Linked DNA regions of Struthio camelus. The protein of the gene in region 1 interacts with the protein of each later gene in a biochemical or structural test. Links are inferred from orthologs where the notes say so. Each region holds a gene or a part of one and is shown in the gene's direction. Other genes may lie near its edges.

What was found. The genes of interacting proteins can lie anywhere in the genome.
Region 2: of the proteins of KLHL12 (region 1) and DRD4, one has a biochemical effect on the other in vitro, tested with the Homo sapiens proteins (2 studies listed by BioGRID, with this or other methods). The link is inferred for Struthio camelus from reciprocal best matches to the Homo sapiens genes KLHL12 and DRD4.

The regions. Positions count from the first base shown.
Region 1 is NC_090965.1:2,852,172-2,862,285, forward strand, and holds the start of KLHL12 (kelch-like protein 12), read left to right. Parts: upstream 1-5,478; 5' UTR 5,479-5,489; coding exon 5,490-5,570; intron 5,571-5,793; coding exon 5,794-5,991; intron 5,992-10,114. UniProt on the Homo sapiens protein: Substrate-specific adapter of a BCR (BTB-CUL3-RBX1) E3 ubiquitin ligase complex that acts as a negative regulator of Wnt signaling pathway and ER-Golgi transport.
Region 2 is NC_090946.1:5,167,333-5,177,108, forward strand, and holds the start of DRD4 (D(4) dopamine receptor), read left to right. Parts: upstream 1-5,065; coding exon 5,066-5,308; intron 5,309-9,776. UniProt on the Homo sapiens protein: Dopamine receptor responsible for neuronal signaling in the mesolimbic system of the brain, an area of the brain that regulates emotion and complex behavior.

The DNA.
Region 1 (10,114 bases):
CCTGAAGACACTCCCCCATTCTGGAACCATTTTAAGTCCCCTTGTATCCAAAAGACATTTTAAAGTGTATCAAAGACTTCATCTAAGGGGCAGAGGCAAGAATAGTTTGAAAAATCATTCAAAATCTATGAACCATTCTGGGACTCACCAGAAAGCTGGAACAAAGCCTTTGAACTATGTACCCAGCACACCAGAAATCACAGACAAAGGCAATTTTGAAAATACATGGATTTAAGGCCCCACCATAAGCAATTTATCAAATTCCTCTGTGGCCTCATCAAAGGGGCATTTAGAAAATGCCTATAGGGCACTACTGATGAAACAATTGTGAAAAATCCTCAAGGCAGTGGTGAAGCTGTGCTAGAGATCAACAATACTGGTTTACTGTGAACATCTTCATAATTCTAAAATTGCCCCAGATACTACCACAGAAGCCATTTTGGAAGTGTTCTATAATGCCGAAGCATAGCCATAAACACCCCATTAAAAGGACCATAAAAAGCAACCAAAAAATCCCACATGTAAAGAAACCAACATTAAAAATATTTTGTGTGATTTTTGGAGCATTCTCATGAGGGACTTTGAAGGGATTTATTCAACAATCCCTCCATTTTTTACAGTCCTATTCACAATGGTTCCTTTGTGGGGGTTAGTGTTTATTCTTGATAGCTCCTTGGCAGTATTTTTGGCCTCCTTCAGTGGGTTTTCACAATGGCTCCATGACGAAGGTGGAGTAATTTTACAATAGGCATTTCTTTGAGACATAATGGTTATGTGATGGTGTCTTGGGGGAGGATTAGAGCCTTGATTTAAACTGTCCAAATGGTGCTGGATTTGGGAGCATTTTCACTGTTAAGCCTATATTCATTGGACCACAGCCACAGTCTTATGCCATGAAGAGCAAAGAGAAGACAGATGTAATCATAGGATTTCCACCACTGACTACAATTTCAGGGCAAGGGCTGGCACGCCCATATTGCAGACAGAGTAAGATAACAGCACCTTGCAGGGCATCAGAAATGAAATTGCATCTGCTATGAATCTTTCCATGCTTACATACTGCAACAATCCCAGACTGGTAACACATCATCTGTGATAGTCTTTCAGAAAGTGAGCTAGGCCAGTGCAGACTCCCCGCCAACTCTCAATTACCTACAGTAAAAAATGTCAGCAAAGGAAGGTGTGGGACAGGGACAGCCACAATGGGACAGGTGTAACCTCTCTTGGAGATACACCTGATCGTGACCCAGTTGACCAGCAGTGGCTCAGCTTCTGATACATTTTGTTGCTAGACTGAAATTCCAGAAAGTCTTGCATGGTTGCGCCTTCTAACAAGAGAAGTGTCCCCCACTTGTGCCTTGCCAGAATTTCTGATTCTCTGACAAGAGAAGGCAAAGGTCTGAGATGACAGGGCAGGGATCTCTGCCCAGCCAGAGGCAGTGCATGCTTCTGATTTCCTTCTCCAGGCTGCAGACAGTGGTCAGCATCTCTGATATCATGTGTCCCCTAGGCTGAGTCAGGTATCCTTGCCCTCTGCCCTCCCTGTTCACACTATTAGTGCTCACACAATAAACACCATTCCCAGACCTGAGCAGCTCCTTCTGGGGGTTGAAAAGTCCAGACCATGTAAATTGTTCCAGTCTTGACAAAGACCTTCCATCTGGCTAGAGGTGGGCCCATCTCCTGGACTCCACAGACTAAAACACCTATGGTCATTAAGGCATATGTCTGAGGCTCTTTCTTACCCATCCTAGGGCTGCCCTGGCCCTACACTTGTGAAATACCACCATTGGAAGTCTCCCTTCCAAAGGTTTCACATAGCCTTCATGAAAAGGCATGCTGCCCAAGAAGGACAGTTGCAGACCTGATACTGACCTTCTTGAGTTTTTTTTTTTTTTAATTTATACTTACGTTGCCCTCAGGTGTACCCAGCCTGCTCCATACCCATGCTGCACTGAGATCTTACCAGCTGGATGACTCTTAGCTCTTCCAGACATGAGATATGGTGACAGAACTGTTTCCCTGCAACAGAGAGGGGATGTGCCATGTCTTCTTTACAGACTTTTTTAGTGGCATGTAGAAATACAGAGAGCAAAAAGGGAAGATCAGAAAGTACTCTGGTATATTTTGGGAGAGCTACAGGTAAACATAGGCCACAGCAGTAATAGTCACATCCCTGCTGCCTCTTGAGGATGAAGTCCAGCCTGGTTCCCTTTCCCACCACTCCGCTCACAATGAGCATGAGTTTCTCCCCTGGGGATCTGGTTGACTTGCTCCGGAGTAAAGCCAGAATGTAAATCAACATGTAAGAAGTGGAGGATCAAAGAGTCTGGTTCTTCCGTGATTGCAGCCACGATAAACTTGCCCATCCCAAACTGGTAAACCACTGCTCAAGAAGAATCTGGCATGGCCTGCTTCTGCTCCAGGCTTGAAGGAGAGCTTGAGCGTCCAAAAGCTGGCCTGTTTTTCCAGGAATGTCAGTTGCTGTGATATAAGAAATTGCCTCTTCCTTCAAAGCTTTCAACTGAAGAACATTCATCAGGCAACTGGACTGAAAAAAAGAAGGAAGATGATATTAACCCAGGGCTTGTAAGAGAGCTGAAATTCAATAACTGACTTTTTCTGCTAGAAACTGTAGCACAAGAATTGAAAACAGACTCGCATGTCATCAAATGAGCAGCTCAGTGCAATGCCTAGCAGAAATCACTAGGCACTTTGAGTGCTCTGGCCTTTGCTGGTTAGAGGATGTACCCAGTCTGGTGATGGCTTTTGTCAGATGTGACCCAAGTGACTCAGTCAACCCGGGTCTAACCTTTCTTATAAGCCTTTCCCAAACCATTTTTCCTCCCACAGCAATAAAACGATTCTGTGTGCTGAGTAAGCATGAAAAATGTGTCTAGCATGGGGACCAAAGATATGAGAGTCCAGAAAAAAATGGAAGCTCTTAAGAAATAAAAAATGCAGCATTTGGGGGTTTATTTAATTTTTCAAAGGCCTGGTATGCAAAAGCGGAGAGGATGTGGGGAATAAAAAGAATCTTTATTGTAAAATATTTTTCTCTTAGAGTGAACAATGAAAGATGCCAGATTAATGTTTAAATTACGTTGATTCTGTTGCATTTTAAGTCCTCAAAATATTCTTTTTAACTAAGAAGTATTTCAAACAAAATCACTTTGTTCACAAGTCAAAAATAGTTTGTGATATTTTTGCCTGCATTAGGCAAAATCTCTTGTTGATCTATCCTGGGCACACCTATTTTGTATTTATATCCTTTCTTTTCTGACACTACAGACTAGTGCCTGTGATTCACATTGACACTGTGAGCTCCTGAGGTGTTTGAGGGCAGACATGTCTGGTATGCCCCTATCCTATCTGTCACTGACGTACACTCAACTCTTCCAAACTCCATGTATCTGTATCCTGAAATCCTTGTGCCTCCCTATAAACATGATGGACTTAATGCTTGTCTCAATCATATCAGTCATTTCCGCAAAACACACTGATCACTAGCAACTGTGGAAGTAATTTGTTTTCAGATTACTCTGATGGTGAAGGACAGCTCTGAAAACTGTGAGGTACAGAATAGTAAGGAAGGAACAGGAGACATTTTCAACCATGATTCTCAAGCAGCAGTGAGTGTAAAGGCTCAGGCTCAGGAATTTGGGCTCTGAATTGTTGATCTCTAGAGAAAGGGCCTAACTTGCCTTTTTAAGGAGAAAGATAGAGTATGTTTGAGAGGAGAAAAGCTAGAGTACAGCTTGGAGATGTGGGCTTCATGGGGATCTCTTCCCAGTGTACCTAGCCTGTGTGACCTGAAGACACAGTCTCTCTACATTAATTTTGGGGCAAACTAGATTCAATTTACAGCATGAGTGGTGGAGTAGCAGCCCCTTTCCCAGAACAGCTTGCAAAGGAGATACTGAGCTAGGACCTATTGCAGCTCTTGTGAGCACATACAGGTGCAGCCCCTAGTCAATCCAGTGCATCGACTGGGTAATTGCCTCCCTGATGTTCTAGCACAGGGGTGGAAGAACGTATGACTTACCTGAACAGGCCTGCAGCACATGAAATTCACTACCATCTGTCCCAAAAAGCTATGGCACATAGACCACCTATGTTATTTCAATGTCAGGCCCCACTCCTGACATTCTGCCACAACCGGAGTGCCTCTTTGAACATGCCACAACGTAGGCAAGATGCCTGCTCCTTTCACTTACTGGGCTGGCACTGTCCCAGGAGCAAAAAGCCTCCAGCTTGAGCTAGCCAGAGCGCCTGAGGGAGTAACCCAAAACGAAGCCTACAGATTAAGTTCTTCCAAATTTCTCTCCTGTGCCATACCAGTTGGGACCCTTTCGTGCAATCCCAGAGGACACTCCAAGGACAGGACAGCATGAACAGTCAGGGAATTTGGCTCTGCAGACATTAACATAGACTCAGCCCATAATTTAGACTGGAAAGGACCTCTGGAGGTTTACCGTCCAACCCCACTCAAAGCAGGGCCAGCTTCAGTGTTACATTAGGTTGCTTAGGGCCTTGTCCAGATATGAACATCTCCAAGAACATGGTGCATTCTTACAGTATGTTTGAGGTGGCATGACTATTGTTTGATGCAACCACATTAGAACGGAGGAGGATGTCATGTTCCTTTTCCGAGCTACCTCTCTACAAATATTAGTTTTTTCTGAATCTCCATTACTGTGGTAGGTTTATTTATACACTGTTTCTGAGCCCTGTGGATGTACCTTACTTTTGTTTACACAATAACAAAGTTGATGCTTTTTTCCACCATTTTAATTCATCCTTCCCGTTTTTAAATATTTTGCTTATTTAAAAGACAAAAAATGTCTGAAGACCCAGAGTTAGCTGGAAAGGACCTGCCTGAGACGCTGCGCTGCTTGTGCAGGATGACTTTGAAAAACAGCACGCACTCAAAAATCTCATGATTTCAAATCAGTCTCTCAGTTTCCTGGGGCCTCACTTCTGCTTTGGCCGTACCGGCATGGCCAGTTCCAGGTTACTCATCTCCAAGGAGCCACAACACAGGGGACGCTCAGCGTGTCCTGCTTGCGGTGGGGCGCTTTGCCACAGCTCTGCCGGCGGCTCCACGCCCCTCCGCAGCGAGAGAGGGAGAGGTCAAGTAAATTTTACAAATTGACTCGGAACTTCCTAAAACCTGAGCAAAACACAGCCTCGCTGCGGCGCTGGCCGTGCAGCCTGCCCCGCTCGCAGCCCCCAGGTGCGCCCGAGGCGCTGGGCCGTTATGGCCGTTATGGCCCAGGCCACCAGGCCCGGCTAAGAGGAGGGCGCCGACCCAGCGGGGGGGAGGGGGAGGGGGAGGGGGAGGGTCCCGCCCGTCCGCCCTGCGGAGCCCGGGGACGGCGGGGGGGGGGGGGGGGGGGGCCGGGCCAAGCCCGCTCCCTAGGCAACGGGAGGGAGGCCTGTTGCCCGGCAACCGGGAGGCACCCGAGGGGCGGGGTGGCGCGGTGGCCATGACGCCATCAGGGCGCGCCGGGCGGGGAGAGGGAGGGGGGGAGGCGCGGTGCGTGGAGCCGGGACCTCTCCCCGCGGCGGTGAGTGCGGGGCGCGGCGGGCCCCGGGGGGCGGCGGCGGCGGCTGGTGGCGCCCCGGCGCGGCGGGCCCGGCGCGGCGGGCGCCTCTCGGGGCGGGGGCGGCGGGGAAGGGGAAGAGGAAAGGGAAGGAGCGGCGGCGGCGCGGGCCGGAGGGCGCCCCCTGGCGGCGCGGCGGGCGGGCGGGCCTGGCCGTGACATGTGGCCGTGCTGGCTGTGCCCGCAGGTGCCGGGCGCCATGGCCCCCCCCAAGGACATCATGACCAACTCGCACGCCAAGTCCATCCTCAACGCCATGAACGCCCTGCGGAAGAGCAACACGCTCTGCGATGTCACCCTGCGCGTGGAGCACAAGGATTTCCCGGCCCACCGCATCGTCCTGGCCGCCTGCAGCGACTACTTCTGCGCCATGTTCACCAGCGAGGTCGGTGCTCCTCGAACGCCTCCCTGCCGCGGGGCCAGGGCCTTCGGTTGCCCGGTGCTGGGCTGTCTGTGGCCCCTAGGCGCTCGGCGTTGTGGAGCAGAAAGGGTCACTCAGTGCTCGGGCTGCCTGCTGTCAGGCTGTTCAGCGGTCGGCGCTAGATCGCTCTAGCGTGGTGCTAGGACACCTGGTCCTGGCACTGGGTCGCCCAGTCATGGTGCTGGGTAGCTCCGTTGTGGCACTAGGACACCTGGTCACAGCAGTGGGTCACTCCCTCGTGGTGCTGGGTTGCCTGGTCATGGCATTAGGTAGTCTGGTTGTGGTGCCGGGTCGCTCTGTTGTGTTGCTGCATTGCCTGGTCATGGCATCAGTTAGCCTGGTTGAGGCACTGGGTCACCTGGTCATGGCACCAGATGGCTCCGTTGTGTCGCTGCGTTGCCTGGTTATGGCATTAGTTGGCCTCGTTGTGGCACTGGGTCACCTGGTCATGGTGCCAGATTGCTCTGTTGTATTGCTGCGCTGCCTGGTTATGGCCTTAGTTGGCCCGGTCGTGGCGCTGGGTTGTTCTGTTGTAGCACTAGGTTGCCTGGTCATGGCCTTAAGTGGCCCAGTTGGTGCTGGGTCTCTCCATCATGGTGCTGGGTCGCTCTGCTGTGGCGGCAAGTCACTTCGTTGTGACTCTGACTCACTCCACCACGGTGCTAGGTTGCCTGGTTTTGGTGCTGAGGTGCTAGTTTGCCTGATCATGGCATTAGTTGGCATAGTCATGGTGCCAGGTCGTGCAGTCATGGTGCCACGTCACTCTGTTGTGGCACTGGGTTGCCTCTTCGTGGAGTTAGATGGCCCAGCTGGTGTTGGGTCACACCATCATGGTGCTGGGTCATTCCAATGTGGCGGCAGGCCACTTCATCACGGTGCTGGGTTACTCAGTTTTGGCACCAGCTTGCTCCATCGTGGCATTAGATAGCCCAGTCGTGGTACTGGCTTGTCCCGTCATGGTGCTAGGTCACTCTGCCATGGTGCTAGATTGCTCGGTTGTGGCATGGTGAGAGTTAAAGGCTGCATTTGAGACTCTAGTCCTGAATCGCTGTCTACTGTACAACCAGCCTGTGCACCAGAGAGATGCCAGTCTGAGCTGACAAACCAGCAGTCTCTGATGCCTCTACTTGGTTTTTCTAGCGGCAGTTTAAGGCCTGCCTGTTTCCAGCCATCTGTCTTGCCAAAGTTGCCAGCCCTAGCACAAAGCTGTACTAGCAGTGCTGCGCACCTTAGTCCGGGTGGTGAGTTAAGGCAGCCACTTTAAAACTGAAATGGATGCTACTTAACTTACGTAAGGGTCTGTGTTTCACACTGGCTGAGCGCCTGGCACGTGGGTGGTTGTGCTGTTGCCTTTGTGAAGAGGATGTAACCTCTAGCGCAAGAGGTTGGAGGTAACACCGTAAGCCACAACTGCTGTACTCTACAAATGTCACTTGTGAGAATCTTTGCTCTCACAGTACGTGTTATATTGACTCACATTAAGGACACGCTGTTTCTCTGAAGCACTGAAAGGTAATACTTGAGCTAAAGCTAGCACTCAATTGTGTTGTTAAGTAGGAGATTCTGCGCCTGGCCTTGTCTTTTATAAGTTTGAATCAGTCTTTGTGGCTTCTCCTTACATAAGATTGCTTTCCTTGTCATAGCAACTTCCCTCTTGGCAGGAAGAAAAATGACTAAGTAGCCCCAGAGGTCCTAAAGACCTGCCTGCTAACCCAGTAGTCCTTTCAGGAGAGAATCATTTTCTTCTTTGTCTTAGCCTGTAATGACCACTGTCTGTAGAGCTGTGACTTGCGAGGTGTGTGCCTATTTTTGTTTCTTTCAGTGCTGGGAAGGGTGAACAGGTGTCTTAATTTCTATAGGTGTGTGCAAAGCAAGCAGAGACAGACATATGCGGACCAGCCACATACCAACATATTTTTTTATCCATGTCTTCATGAATTTTGTAAATTTAACAGGTTTGTGCACTTTCTCTGCACAAGGAGATATAATTTTAAAAAAAAATAAAATACACAAAGCAAATTCAGCCCCTGGAGGCTGAAGTTCTCTATTCACTAGTGGCTTCAACATACACAGCAGTAGGGCAGACTCTCCCTGCTTCTTTGTTTGCCCCTATGTTCTTGTCAGTGCCTTTGACTTCCTGGACTTTATCTACACAGTCTACAGAGATCAGATCACTCTACACCGTATAGAATAGTCCTTGTGGCCGATAACAAAAGCTGAGGAAAACAGCAATTGGTGTACTTTGGATCTAAGCTGAGATCGTCTCTCCTTGCTCCTTTACGCTCCCATTCTGATTCTGTCACTGTAGTGACTTTAATTCATGGTTAAATTTTTTTCTGGGAATATAAGTGTATCTAGCATGCAGTGGGCATGATCGTTCACTCTCTGTCTTCCAGACTGCTGCTGCTTGAAAGGTTTTACTTTTTGCTTAGTTGGTATTTCTTCCAATTTTCCTTTTTCATATGGAAATCCCAAAATAACAAACTTGCCAAGTGGCACACACAATTACTGTGTGTTTGTGGAAGAATGTTCTTTCCAAGAAATGACAGCTTGGTAAGCCTCAAAGTGGACCTACTTCCTATATGTGTTAATGACAAGTATGTTGGTGAGCGTAATGGGACAGCATTTGGTTGCTATCCAAATTCTTGCGGGTATAGAGTGTTTTGGCCTTGCCTATAACTTGAGGGAATCAAAATGCCTGATTGCGTAATGGGCTGTCGGTCTCTACAAGGTTTCCTTTGCAATTCGTCACTAATCTCCTGCAAATTTGGGGACTCCTTGGCTAGTTGCAACATGTGGCTTTTGTCAGACTCGGGCTACACAAGGCTTTGTTCTGATCCCTCGGTCATGCCCTGTGTCATTCAGGATGTTACGTCTTTGCGTGGTCAGTCAGTGTAGCACTAAGACTATCATCTGAGATTATCATCATAGAAAGCTACGTTTCTCAACCCATGCGTCTCTCATTTCCTTTCTCTGCCTCTGTGCTGAGGAGTGCGGGAGTACTGAAACAGCCCATCAGTTTTACCTACAGAGATTTTTCTTGTGGTGGAAACTGAAGAGCAGTTTCAGCAAGTGCTCCCTTGCGTCCTAGTTTTGCACTGGGATTTCTGCCTTTGTTTGGACGTGTTAACATAACTCAGGATATGTTAAGAGTTGATCATTGGCTCCACCTCAGAAAGAAGCTAGCCTATCTTCTCTTAGAGAGTATCTTGTAGAAATTGAAGAGGTTTTTTTTTCCTCCAAAAAAAGTTGAAATTTTGTTCTTATTCTGAAAATAAAAGGCTTGTGTTTCTATTCAGGTTCTTACATGGTTATCCTCACTGTACTATGAATGTCTTCCAGAATGCATGGAGCCACACGATTAGCACTGTCATGCCAGCATTTCTTTTTTCCCTACCTGTAAGACGAAATTGGAGGAGTTTATTACAGTACTCTTCTGTGTATCTGCATTAGTGAAAGGCAAGAATAAGTAGTAGATTGGGATAAGTGGTAAGATATATGGTTCCAGAATCTTAGACTGAGCCCAAAGAAGGTTGTGTCTTCTGCAGAGTGAGTTGCATGATTTATGCGAGGGGGAAGGAAGTCAGCAACGTTATGTTTCGTAATAGAGCTATCACCTGCAGCCCCTGTCTTAAAGCTCTCGGCGACTTAAGCATCCTGGGGTAAAACTCTTGCTGTCTCCAAGCGACTGCTTTTAAATTTTAACAGCAATGTACTTTCATGGGCACTGCATTTGATTTCTGGACCTGCACTGATGCACATTTTTTATGAACTGTTAGAACATGTTTGAATCAGGGAGCATCAATCCCTTATTGCTGTGCTTCATGCTAGCTGGCAGAACTCTAGTATGAAACAGTAAAAGGGAAAAAAATAATGTGAAATTCTTCTAACAGCAGAGCTGCAGAAAGATGTCTCATACCACTAAACCTGCTGAAGAAAAGCTTCTCTTACCGTTTTTGATTAGTAGTCCTATACTCATGATTTTACATTGCTTCTGAGTGCAGACTAATTGGAGACTGCAGAAAAGTATAAGAATTGCAGAGCACAGTAAAACAGTGTCTAGTACTTTCTTGTTCACCTTTCTGAT
Region 2 (9,776 bases), on another chromosome or scaffold:
TGTTTTAAAACCAAGAGGGACCCTTAAAGTGTTTCTGTGTGCTCTTGCCTGTGGCGCAAGCCCACCCGATCACCCCTGTGTGAGATCAATTATGTGGGTAAGTCTAAAGCCAGGCATCCCCAAAACCATCCAGTTTTGATTATAAACTACCAGAGACAGTAAATCCACCCTTGCTTCTCTGTAGTTTCATTCCCATAGCTAATCATCATTACTTATGCATGAGTTTCACTTCTTTCTTGGATTTATCTTAACTTACCAGGATTTTAAATGTGAAAAGATCTATTCAGGCAGCGTCTTGCAGGGGGGACTCAGAGAGCCTGGAAAGCCAAGAGAGAGTCCTGCCACCCTCTTCCCTCCCTTGCAAAGGTTAACCTGAAAGGCAGGACGCTGCCTCTATGCCTTTTCTTGGAAATGTATTACAGGCAGATTGTAAAGCAGGATGGCTTCGGATGATACGTTCACAGAGAATTGCTCAGCTAAGTGTGTCAAATAAAAGGAGCAGGATTGGCTTTAAAAGCTCTTTATGTACCTCCCTTTGTTCTGAACCTGAAGATAGTGATCTTTCACCCAGCTATCAGGACACTATTCAACAGTTGAGTTTAGGCACATCTGTGCTGAAGCATTGGCAGGTAATTTTGTTCTCCTCTCCTATTTAAAAATTCAGTGCTTCAAGCACAGAAAAACTGTAATGATAAAAGTTCTGTGTCTTTTGGGAGACACTGACAGATGTCTCACTTTGCGACCTTCCAGTCCTCTGAATTGGCTCACCACCAAACACTCTGTTAACTCATCCCAGCTGAGTCTTGGGGGACACCTTGCGGCTCCTAAGCTGGTGGCTGGGATCCCGCGGATGGATGAGGCCAGGGCCCACCCCAGGCAGGCTAGCAAACCAGCTGGGGGGATACTGGTTGTGAACGATTGCCAGGGAAACTCAGGTTACTCTGTTTGGTCAGTTTGCATCAGAAATGGGTGCTTTGCCCATGCTGCCGTGAGCTGGGGCTGAGGCAGCACGAATTTGTGGGTGGCTGGCAAAAGGAAAGGCCTGTCCTGGGGTGCTGCTCCCCCTACAGTAAGTTATTGGCTAAGCTACTGGTTCCCACTGGTGAAACGGGGAGATATCAAGCTGAAGAGCTAGCTACAGGCAGGGCTGGGCTGGAGAAGTGGGACGCCCACAGCCCACTTGAGCAGAGGTCCTGGGTACCAGAGCCTCATTTTCCCATATTTGACCAGACTGTATCCCTGATGCAAGAGATGTCTCATTGATGCAGTGGCTGGGCAACCAGTTTGCCAGATTTCAAGGAGGGAAACTGAGGCATAGTCTTCTATGAGGCTGGGGTGTCCCTGCTGGCAGAAGGTGCTGCTGTTCACCCTTCTGTATGCTTCGCAGCACCAGCCGAGGACAGAATAAAACATTTTTTTCTGCTGAGAGAAGCAGCTGTGGGTACCTTTCAGCGCCTCTCCATCTCACTGCCCTAAGCCACCAGCCTGTGACACTGCGACAGGTGAAGCAGGATCCTTTGCAGCCTGCGCATCCGAGCAAAAAAGGGTTGTTCAAGGCCAAAGACCACATCAGACGCTCTCCACAGGAGCTCCTAAACACTCGCTGACCATCGTTCAAACACTCCAGCCCTGGCACGTAATGCTCCCTCCTTTCTGCGGAGGTGACAAATGGCTCTGTCCCTTATCACCCTCCCTTTTTTTTTCACAGCCACATGGGGTGACTTCTGTGGATATGGCGAGGCATTACCTTCCTTCTCTTATCCTAGGAGGATAGACCCTCTTATCCTAGGAGGGAGCAATGTGGTCTGAGGCTCTGACCTGCTAATGGAAAAGAGGGTGCTTCGTTGCTCCCCTGGAGATGCTGTCAAACAGAAAAGTGACTGAAGTCAGTCAGCACATGTCAGCTTTCCCAGAGCCGGCCTGGCAGGATGTGGTTTATGGCAGTATCCACCAAGGAACGAGGGTGCAGTATGGGCAGAGCGGTGGCAAGCAGGCACAGAGGAACCAGAAAGAGCAGAGATTACAGTGAGTTTGTGGTAGAAGAGCTGTCCTAATTAGTGCATCGCATGGCTGCTCTTTTCTGGAAGTCAAAAGCCTTATTTCACATTAGTTTAATCTATTCCAGGATTAAACTGGTTTAGGATTAAAGCATAGTTAGTCTGGAATGAGAGCTTCCACAATGAGAGTTAAGAGCCATTCGGCACTAACCGATGGGGAAAATCAAGATAATTAATTAATACAAATTAACTATTAAAGTGGATTAGATGAATGGCATTAATCCCTGTGAGAAGGTAGAAGGCCTGTGGTCACAACTCAGTCCTGATCCCTTTGCTGCTTGGATTAATTAAACATAAATAAATTATGTATGCTCTGTCCATATAGGCTTCCAGTGCAGTTTAATTAATTCACCTCAAGTCCCTCCTTTAGCTAATTTGAGTTGATTTCTTTGAGTAAAAGGGTTATAGTAAAAAGTGGTTCCACTGGAGCAGCTCTCCATTAACCAAAAGCTGTTGCAGCAGCGGGTGCGTGGGCAGTCAGGTTTTTGGGGACTGACCACTACACCAGAAAAGCTGTGATCAGGTGAAACAAACCACCAAGCTGATGCTAATTCACTCTGTTGAGATGTATGAGTTAAAAAAAAAATACAGATGGGGGGTCCATATCAGAATCACAGAATGGTTGAGGTTGGAAGTGACCTCTGGAATCACTGAGTCCAACCCTGCTGCTCCTGCAAGGTCACCTAAAGCATGTTGCCCAGGTCCCTATCCAGACGACTTTTGAATATCTCCAAGGATGGAGACTCCACAGCCTCTCTGGGCAACCTGCTCCAGTGCTCAGTCACAGTAAAAAAAGTTTTAAAAGTTTTTCAGTAAAAATGTTTTTCACTGTAAAAAAGTTTTTCCTCATCTCCAGACAGAACTTCCTCCCTTTCAGTTTGTGCCCATTGCCTCTCACCCTATCAGTGGGTGCCTCTGACAAGAGTCTGGCCCCATCCTCTTCACACCTTCCCTTCCGATATTCATACCCACCTATAAGATCCCCCCTCACTCTTCTCTTCTCCACACTGAACAGCCCCACCTCTCTCAGCCTTTCCTTGCATGACAGATGCTCCCGTCCCTTCAGCTTCTTGGTAGACCTTCACTGGATTCACTCCAGTAGCTCCATGTCTCTCTTGTATTGGGCAGCCCAGAACTGCACACAGCAGCCCACACGGGGCCTCCCCAGGGATGAGTTGAGGGGAAACCTCCCTTGACCTGCTGCCAATGCTTTGCCTAATGCAGCCCCGCACACTGTTGGCCTTCTTGGCCATCGGGCCACAGTGCTGGCTCACGGTCAGCTTGTTCTCCAACCAGGCCTCCCAGCTCCTTCTCTGCACACCTGCTCTCCAGCTGCTTTCTATGCACCAGTACAGGCTGGTGCATGGGTTTATTCCTCCCCAGGTGCAGGACTCTGCACATCCTGTTATTGAATTTCATGAGGTTCCTCTCTGCCCATCTCTCCAGCCTGTCAAGGTCCCCCTGGATGGCAGCACAGCCATTCATGCTTTACTCTTGCTCCCACTTACTGTTTAACTGAGACATGGTGCTCCATCTCCTTTCATGCGAAGACAGATGTCTTGTTTTGTTACCACTCACGGAGCAAGTGATATATTGTGACACAAGGCTGCTTGGGGTGGGAAGCACTGAATACTGAACACTAATTCCTTGCTCTTGTACTTGGACCATGGTAGCTAATCAAAGAGAAATTTCACCTTGTCAGAGCACCATGCAGAATTGTCCTTCTTCTCTATCTCCTGCTCAAAAAGCATCATTGGGCCTCTGAGAACAGGTGTTTGCCACTGGCGATGGAGGAAGTGACCAAATCCCTTGGGCAGAAGAGCAATGCATTAATTCCTGACTTTTTCAGCAAAGCACTGGACTGATGCTACACGCCTTGGCTATGGGAAGGGCTTGGTGACAAGATGAGCTTGGTCACAAGAAGAGGGTGATGACAGGGAGAGCTTGGTGGCGTTGGAGAGTGTGGCAACAAGACAAGCTTGGTGACAAGGAGAGTTTGGTGATGGAGAGCTTGGTGAGAGTGAGAGCTTGGTGACAGGGAGAGCTTGGTGACAAGACGAGCATTTGATGACATTGGAGAGCTTGGTGACAGGGAGCGTTTGATGACAGGGAGAGAGCTTGGGGACAAGGAGCGTTTGGTGACAAGATGAGCATTTGGTGACATTGGAGAGCTTGGTGACAGGGAGCGTTTGATGCCAGGGAGAGAGCTTGGGCACAAGGAGAGTTTGGTGACAAGATGAGCATTTGGTGACTTTGGAGAGCTTGGTGACAGGGAGCGTTTGATGCCAGGGAGAGCTTGGAGACAAGGAGAGTTTGGCGATGGAGATCTTGGTGAGAGTGAGAACGTGGTGACAAGATGAGCATTTGGTGACGCTGGAGAGCTTGGTGACAGGGAGCATTTGATGACAGGGAGAGAGCTTGGGCACAAGGAGAGTTTGGTGACGCTGGAGAGCTTGGAGACAGGGAGGGCTTGATGACAAGACGAGCTTGGTGACATGGAGAGCTTGGAGACAAGGAGCGTTTGGTGACCCTGGAGAGCTTGCCAACAAGGGGCTTGGGGCAGCAGCCTCCGTCCACCGCGGCAAGCTGAGCTGCTCGCCGCGGCCGAGCTCCAGCATCGCCCCGCCGCGACCCGGAGGCGCCGAGCGGGGGGCACCGGGCCGCTCTGCCCGACGTCGCCGGGGGCGGGCGAGGGTCCCCCCGCCGCAGCCGCCGCCCCCTAAGCCGCTCGCCGGTGGGCGGTGGTGACCCACTTGGTGCCGCGGGGGCCGGGCAGCCCGAGGCCGGCGGGGCGGGCAGCGGAGGCTCCTCCCCACCGGCCAACTTCGGGGCCGGGCCGGGCCGGGCCGTGCGGGCGTGGGAGCCTCGCCTCGCCTGGCCGCGGGGCCGGGCATGGCCGGCGGCGGCGCCGAGCCCCGCGGCGGCGGGAGCTGAGCGGGGTGCGGCGGGGACCGGCGGCGGAGGGGGGGGAGGTTTTTTGGGGGGGTGGGTCCCATGCACCGGGTGCCATGGGGAACGGCAGCGCGCCGCCACCGCCGCCACCACCGCCGGCGGCGGCGGGCCACAACGTCGCCGCCCTGGTGCTGGGCATCGTCCTCATCCTGCTCATCGTGGGCGGCAACGCGCTGGTGTGCCTCAGCGTCTGCACGGAGCGGGCGCTGAAGACCACCACCAACTACTTCATCGTCAGCCTCGCCGTGGCCGACCTGCTGCTCGCCGTCCTCGTCCTGCCCCTCTACGTCTACTCCGAGGTGAGGCCACCGCCGGCGGGCCCGGGGCTTGTGTGTGTGCGTGTGTGTGTGTGATGGGACGGGGGACAGCGGGGTGCCCCCGTCGCACTCAGGCTTTTTAAGAGGGTCCTGCCTCGGCGGCTTTCGTGCCCGGAGCTCCTGAAAGTTACAGGGCTCTGTGTGTGTGTGTTGGGGGGAGGGGGGATCCACGAGAGACCAAATATACCGAGGGTTTAAAAAGCTTCCCCTGGTTTATTTCCCCCACCTGCGGCTTGGAAATCCCAGCGGCGCCGCTGCCCACCTCCCTTGCTGCAGCCCCTGCCCCTGCCCTCCTGCTTCTTCCTCCTCCTCCCCTGCAGGAATGTTGCTTTCAAACCACTGCGGCTCCCCCCCCCCCCTTTTTTTTTTCCTCATGCCATCGCTGCTCATCTGCGGTGGAAAAAACTCTGAAGGACAATTAGCGGTGGGGGCAAAAAGCGGGTTGGCAGAAGTTCTTGTTCCCGCGATCGCAGCGCTGTGTGGTCCCCGTGTCCGTGGGTAAGGGGGCTTCCTCCTGTCCTTCTCCGAGGCGAGCCGTGATGCCGACACACGACCGCCGAGGTGGAGAAGCAGAAAGAGGAATCTTCTGGGTCGGGTGAGCAGCTCCAGGGAGTCCTTGGACAGGTCCCAGGCTGGAGAACTGGTTGCCAGTCAGCAAATGGTTAGGAAGGGGTGAGAGAGCTCCCGTGCTCTGCTCTGTCTGGTATGAGGTGCTCGGCTTTTGGGGATAAGGGAGCTCTTTAGCTAGGAAGCAGGTTGCCATGCCAGGTTGAGGAGGAGAAATTGCTTTTTTAGGGAGCTAGTCGGTGTTCTCCTTTGAAGGAGAACACCTTGTCTCCTTCCTTTGGTCTGCTTGCTGCAGGGCTCCTGCTGGCTGGATGTGCTCTCCTTTGTCCAGTCCTGACCCCATGTACGCAGGTGGCTGTGCAGAGGCACTGTGGACTTTGGGACAGGCCTTCTCTCCACCCCAGAAACTGCTATAGCTGAGGCAGAGATGTGCAGTTCAAGTTCTCCTGAGGTTGAGTGGTTTTGCATGTCTCTCTGCCTCTCTTTTCTCCGCTGTGAAAGGGAGATACATTTTTACTGCCGGAGGAGGAGGATTGATAACGCCTTGAGATTGCAGAGGGATTTGTTGGATCGGGGTGGGGAGGATCGCTAGTGGCTGCCTGTTAGTACTAGCCTGTGGCTCTTTCCTTGCTCTCACTGCAGCCCTACCTCTCCCCAGAGGTGAGCGGATGAAAGTCCCTATGGGCCAAAATAGCATTTTTTTGCCCCTCTCTTCTGGGGTAGCTGGTAGTGTGGAAGAAAAAGGAGTCCTCTTTTTTCTTTCCAGATTGGGGGGGGGGGGGGGGGGGAGAGCCAGGATTTTCTCTGGTGCAGAGTCTGAGCTGTAGCCTGGGGGCTCAGAGAGGCAGTTCAGCCAGACTTTCCGACCTTGTATTTGGCCACAGCCACATTGTTTGTAAGCTGGTTGCTTAAGTACTTTCTCAGGGAATGAAAGGGGCTGTCCCCATTCCCCAGCAGAGTGGTTTCCCACTGTTGACACTGGGGCCAGGCTAAAACAACAGCATACCAGAAGTGTTCAAGCCATAGCATTTCCCCTTCTCTCCCATGCCAGGGCTGCCATTCAGCACCTGATCAGGTCGGGCCTAAATTTTCTTAAGCAAGGTAGTCTGCGGATTAGAGCTTAGGATGCTTTTAGCCTCTCTACATGGTCCTAGGATTTCTTAGGACATTGTGACCTCTCTGAAGACAAAGGTTTTCTAGAGGGACAGGCTCTGCTGGGGAGCCATAAGAAGAACCAGTGAAGAACAGGAGCGACAGATTCCCCTCTCTCTTCCCCCCACTGACAGCCCCCCCCCTCCATGTTACTTCTTTTGGGTGGTCCCTTGTCTCAGTTCTGGGGTTAGAAAGCCAGAACCCCTCTTTCTCCACCATTCTTCTCAGCTACTTCTTGCTAATTGCAATTCCCTTTTTCTTCCCCTTGCTCCTTCTGTTGTCTCTCCATGCCTCCTGTCTCTGACTCCGTGGGCAGGTACTCATAGCAGTGTGGTTTCCTCTGGCCTGCAGGCCCAGATCTTGCTGGCATATGTAAAACGCTGGTTAGTGTCCTTGGGGGGGATACCTCTGAAAATGCTTCCAGTTGGGCACGAGCATTTTGGAGGTTTCCTTGGGTATCACAGAACATCCCACAAATGCTGGATTCTCAGATACCGGGTGTTCGACCCCACCTAAGCTTTAAAAACCTGGGCTGCCCAGCCTGTGCTTGAGCTGTGAATGATCCTTGAAGTGTGTTCATTTCCGTAGCTGTTCAGAAACATCAGTTATGGGGCTTAATTCTTCAGTGTCTCTGCACCCAGGATATTAAACAACAGGGAACGGAGGAGGCATATGGCAGAACTGTCCTTCCCTCTGAGTCTTGCGGCTCCTGCAACAAGGCAGTTATAATAAGAGACCTTGTGAAAGGCAGCACGCACCAGGATCTGCACTCGTCTGGTAGCCACTTCAGATCACCTCACAGACTGACTGCGGAAGGTACTATATGGGCAGGGAGCGAAGGGCAGCAATGTATAGCAAGCATAAGCTCCTCGAGCAGGCAATGGGGTTTGGAAATACAGGGCAGCGTAGGCCGTTTGTCAGTGTTGAAACACTAGTTTCCTGCTTTGCAATTTCTCTGTGGGCTCAGGGCTTATTCTTAATAATCTCCTATATATTGGTGGGGGATTTGCAGCTCGCTTCGTTGTGAAATATACTAAGAAAAGGTCAGAGTGGCCATTGAGTCAGTGCCAGTGGACAGAATTTTTCTGGTTTTCTCTAAGAGGAAGGAAAAAAGTGAAAGCTGGAGATCAGAATCAGATGCTCAATCTGCATGCATAAATGCAAATGCATCCCTTGTCCTGAAGGCTGGGACAGAGGCAGATCATCTAGTTGTTAACGAGGAAAGGAAAAGTGACCTTGGCAGGCAGGACAAGGGTCATAAGGTATAGGGACCACTGCTATTTAAAAGTAGCTTGGTTTCAACGTGCACTCTGCACATCTAGCCACTCCAAATGTGGCCTGGACAGTCAAGAGGCAGCTCCTGACTGTTTAACATTTGGGTTTTTTCCTCTCTTCTCTCTCTCTTTCTTTCTTTTTAATGCCACTCCTGACAGAGTAAAAGTGGACTTTTACCCAGAACCATAAAGTATGACTACTTCTTTCATTCAGCAGGAAAAGCTTGGTCACTTTGTGCTTTTCCCCTGTAAGATGACTTCTTGCGTCAGATTTCTAGAATTGTCCCTCCCAATCAGGGCTTTAGAAGACAGCTAGAGGGATTTAAATTTGAGATGTGACATCTGACATCCCTACAAAACGACAGATCTCCCACGGGCTTCCATGGGGCCAGGTTTCCCTCCTGTGAGATGTGGATTATCTCTTGCTGCTGTTCACAAAAGCCCAAGCACAGTGGGAGAGGCCTTGATCTTGGCTGCTATTTCTAGTTGTTAAGAAAGCTTATTCCAGTGCGTTAGCAACCGTTGTTGACACATGTTGTCCTGTCATACTTCTGAAAGAGCCAGCCTAACTTTTTCTCACAGTTAAACTCTTAGTTTTAGAAGTCTTGGCTGCAGGAAGCCAAATTGGGTGTTATTTCTTTGTGGATGTCCCTTGTTTGTACCTGCAGGGTTGGAGGAGTGCTGAAAGCAGGTGCGAGACAAGGGTGAAATTGGTACATGCAGTCACAACCATTTCCTTTCGGCACTGTTTCACCATCACTGCAGTGTTGCCTGGAATAAGGGAAGGGAAGTGGGGCCATGAAATGCAAACTTCCTCCAGTTCTGTCCCCACCTGTGCATCTTATGGGAGAAGTATCACAATGGCACGATGGCTTTCTGATGGTGAGGAAGAGATGGGTCTATTACTCCTGGCCAAGTCTGGTCCTGTTGTGCTAGGCTCCCTCAACCAATAACAAAATGACCAATCCTTGCCGACAAGAACTTGCTTTGGAAACAGGGCAGCAGTGGTAGGAAATCAGTATCTCCTACTGAACTGGTGCCATGTGGCTCTTTCCAGGCATGCAGGAAAGCCTTCACACTGGGTGTTGAGTACAGATCCCTTTAGACCTCTTCTCTCCACAGATCAGCCTTCTCTGTGTGAGAGGAACATTTGCCCCTGAGTCCTGCCCTGTTGTAAATCTCTCCCTTGTGTTCGCTGTGCATTGGTGGGAGTTCTTCAGACTGTATTTCTCTCCTCATTAATTTGCCCTGTCAAATTTATCTTAGCAGCTCAGGTTAACACTTGGGGCTTTAATGCGAAAGAATTGCTCTAACTGAGAAGTTGCTCTTTGGTAAATCCAAATGTTGCCGTGGTTTGTCTGCTCTGATCTTCCACAACCTGGTGTGACTAAGAAGCATCCTATGGAGGGGGAAAGGAAGAAACATCAGCTTTCCACCGTGTTTCACCCATTTCCCAA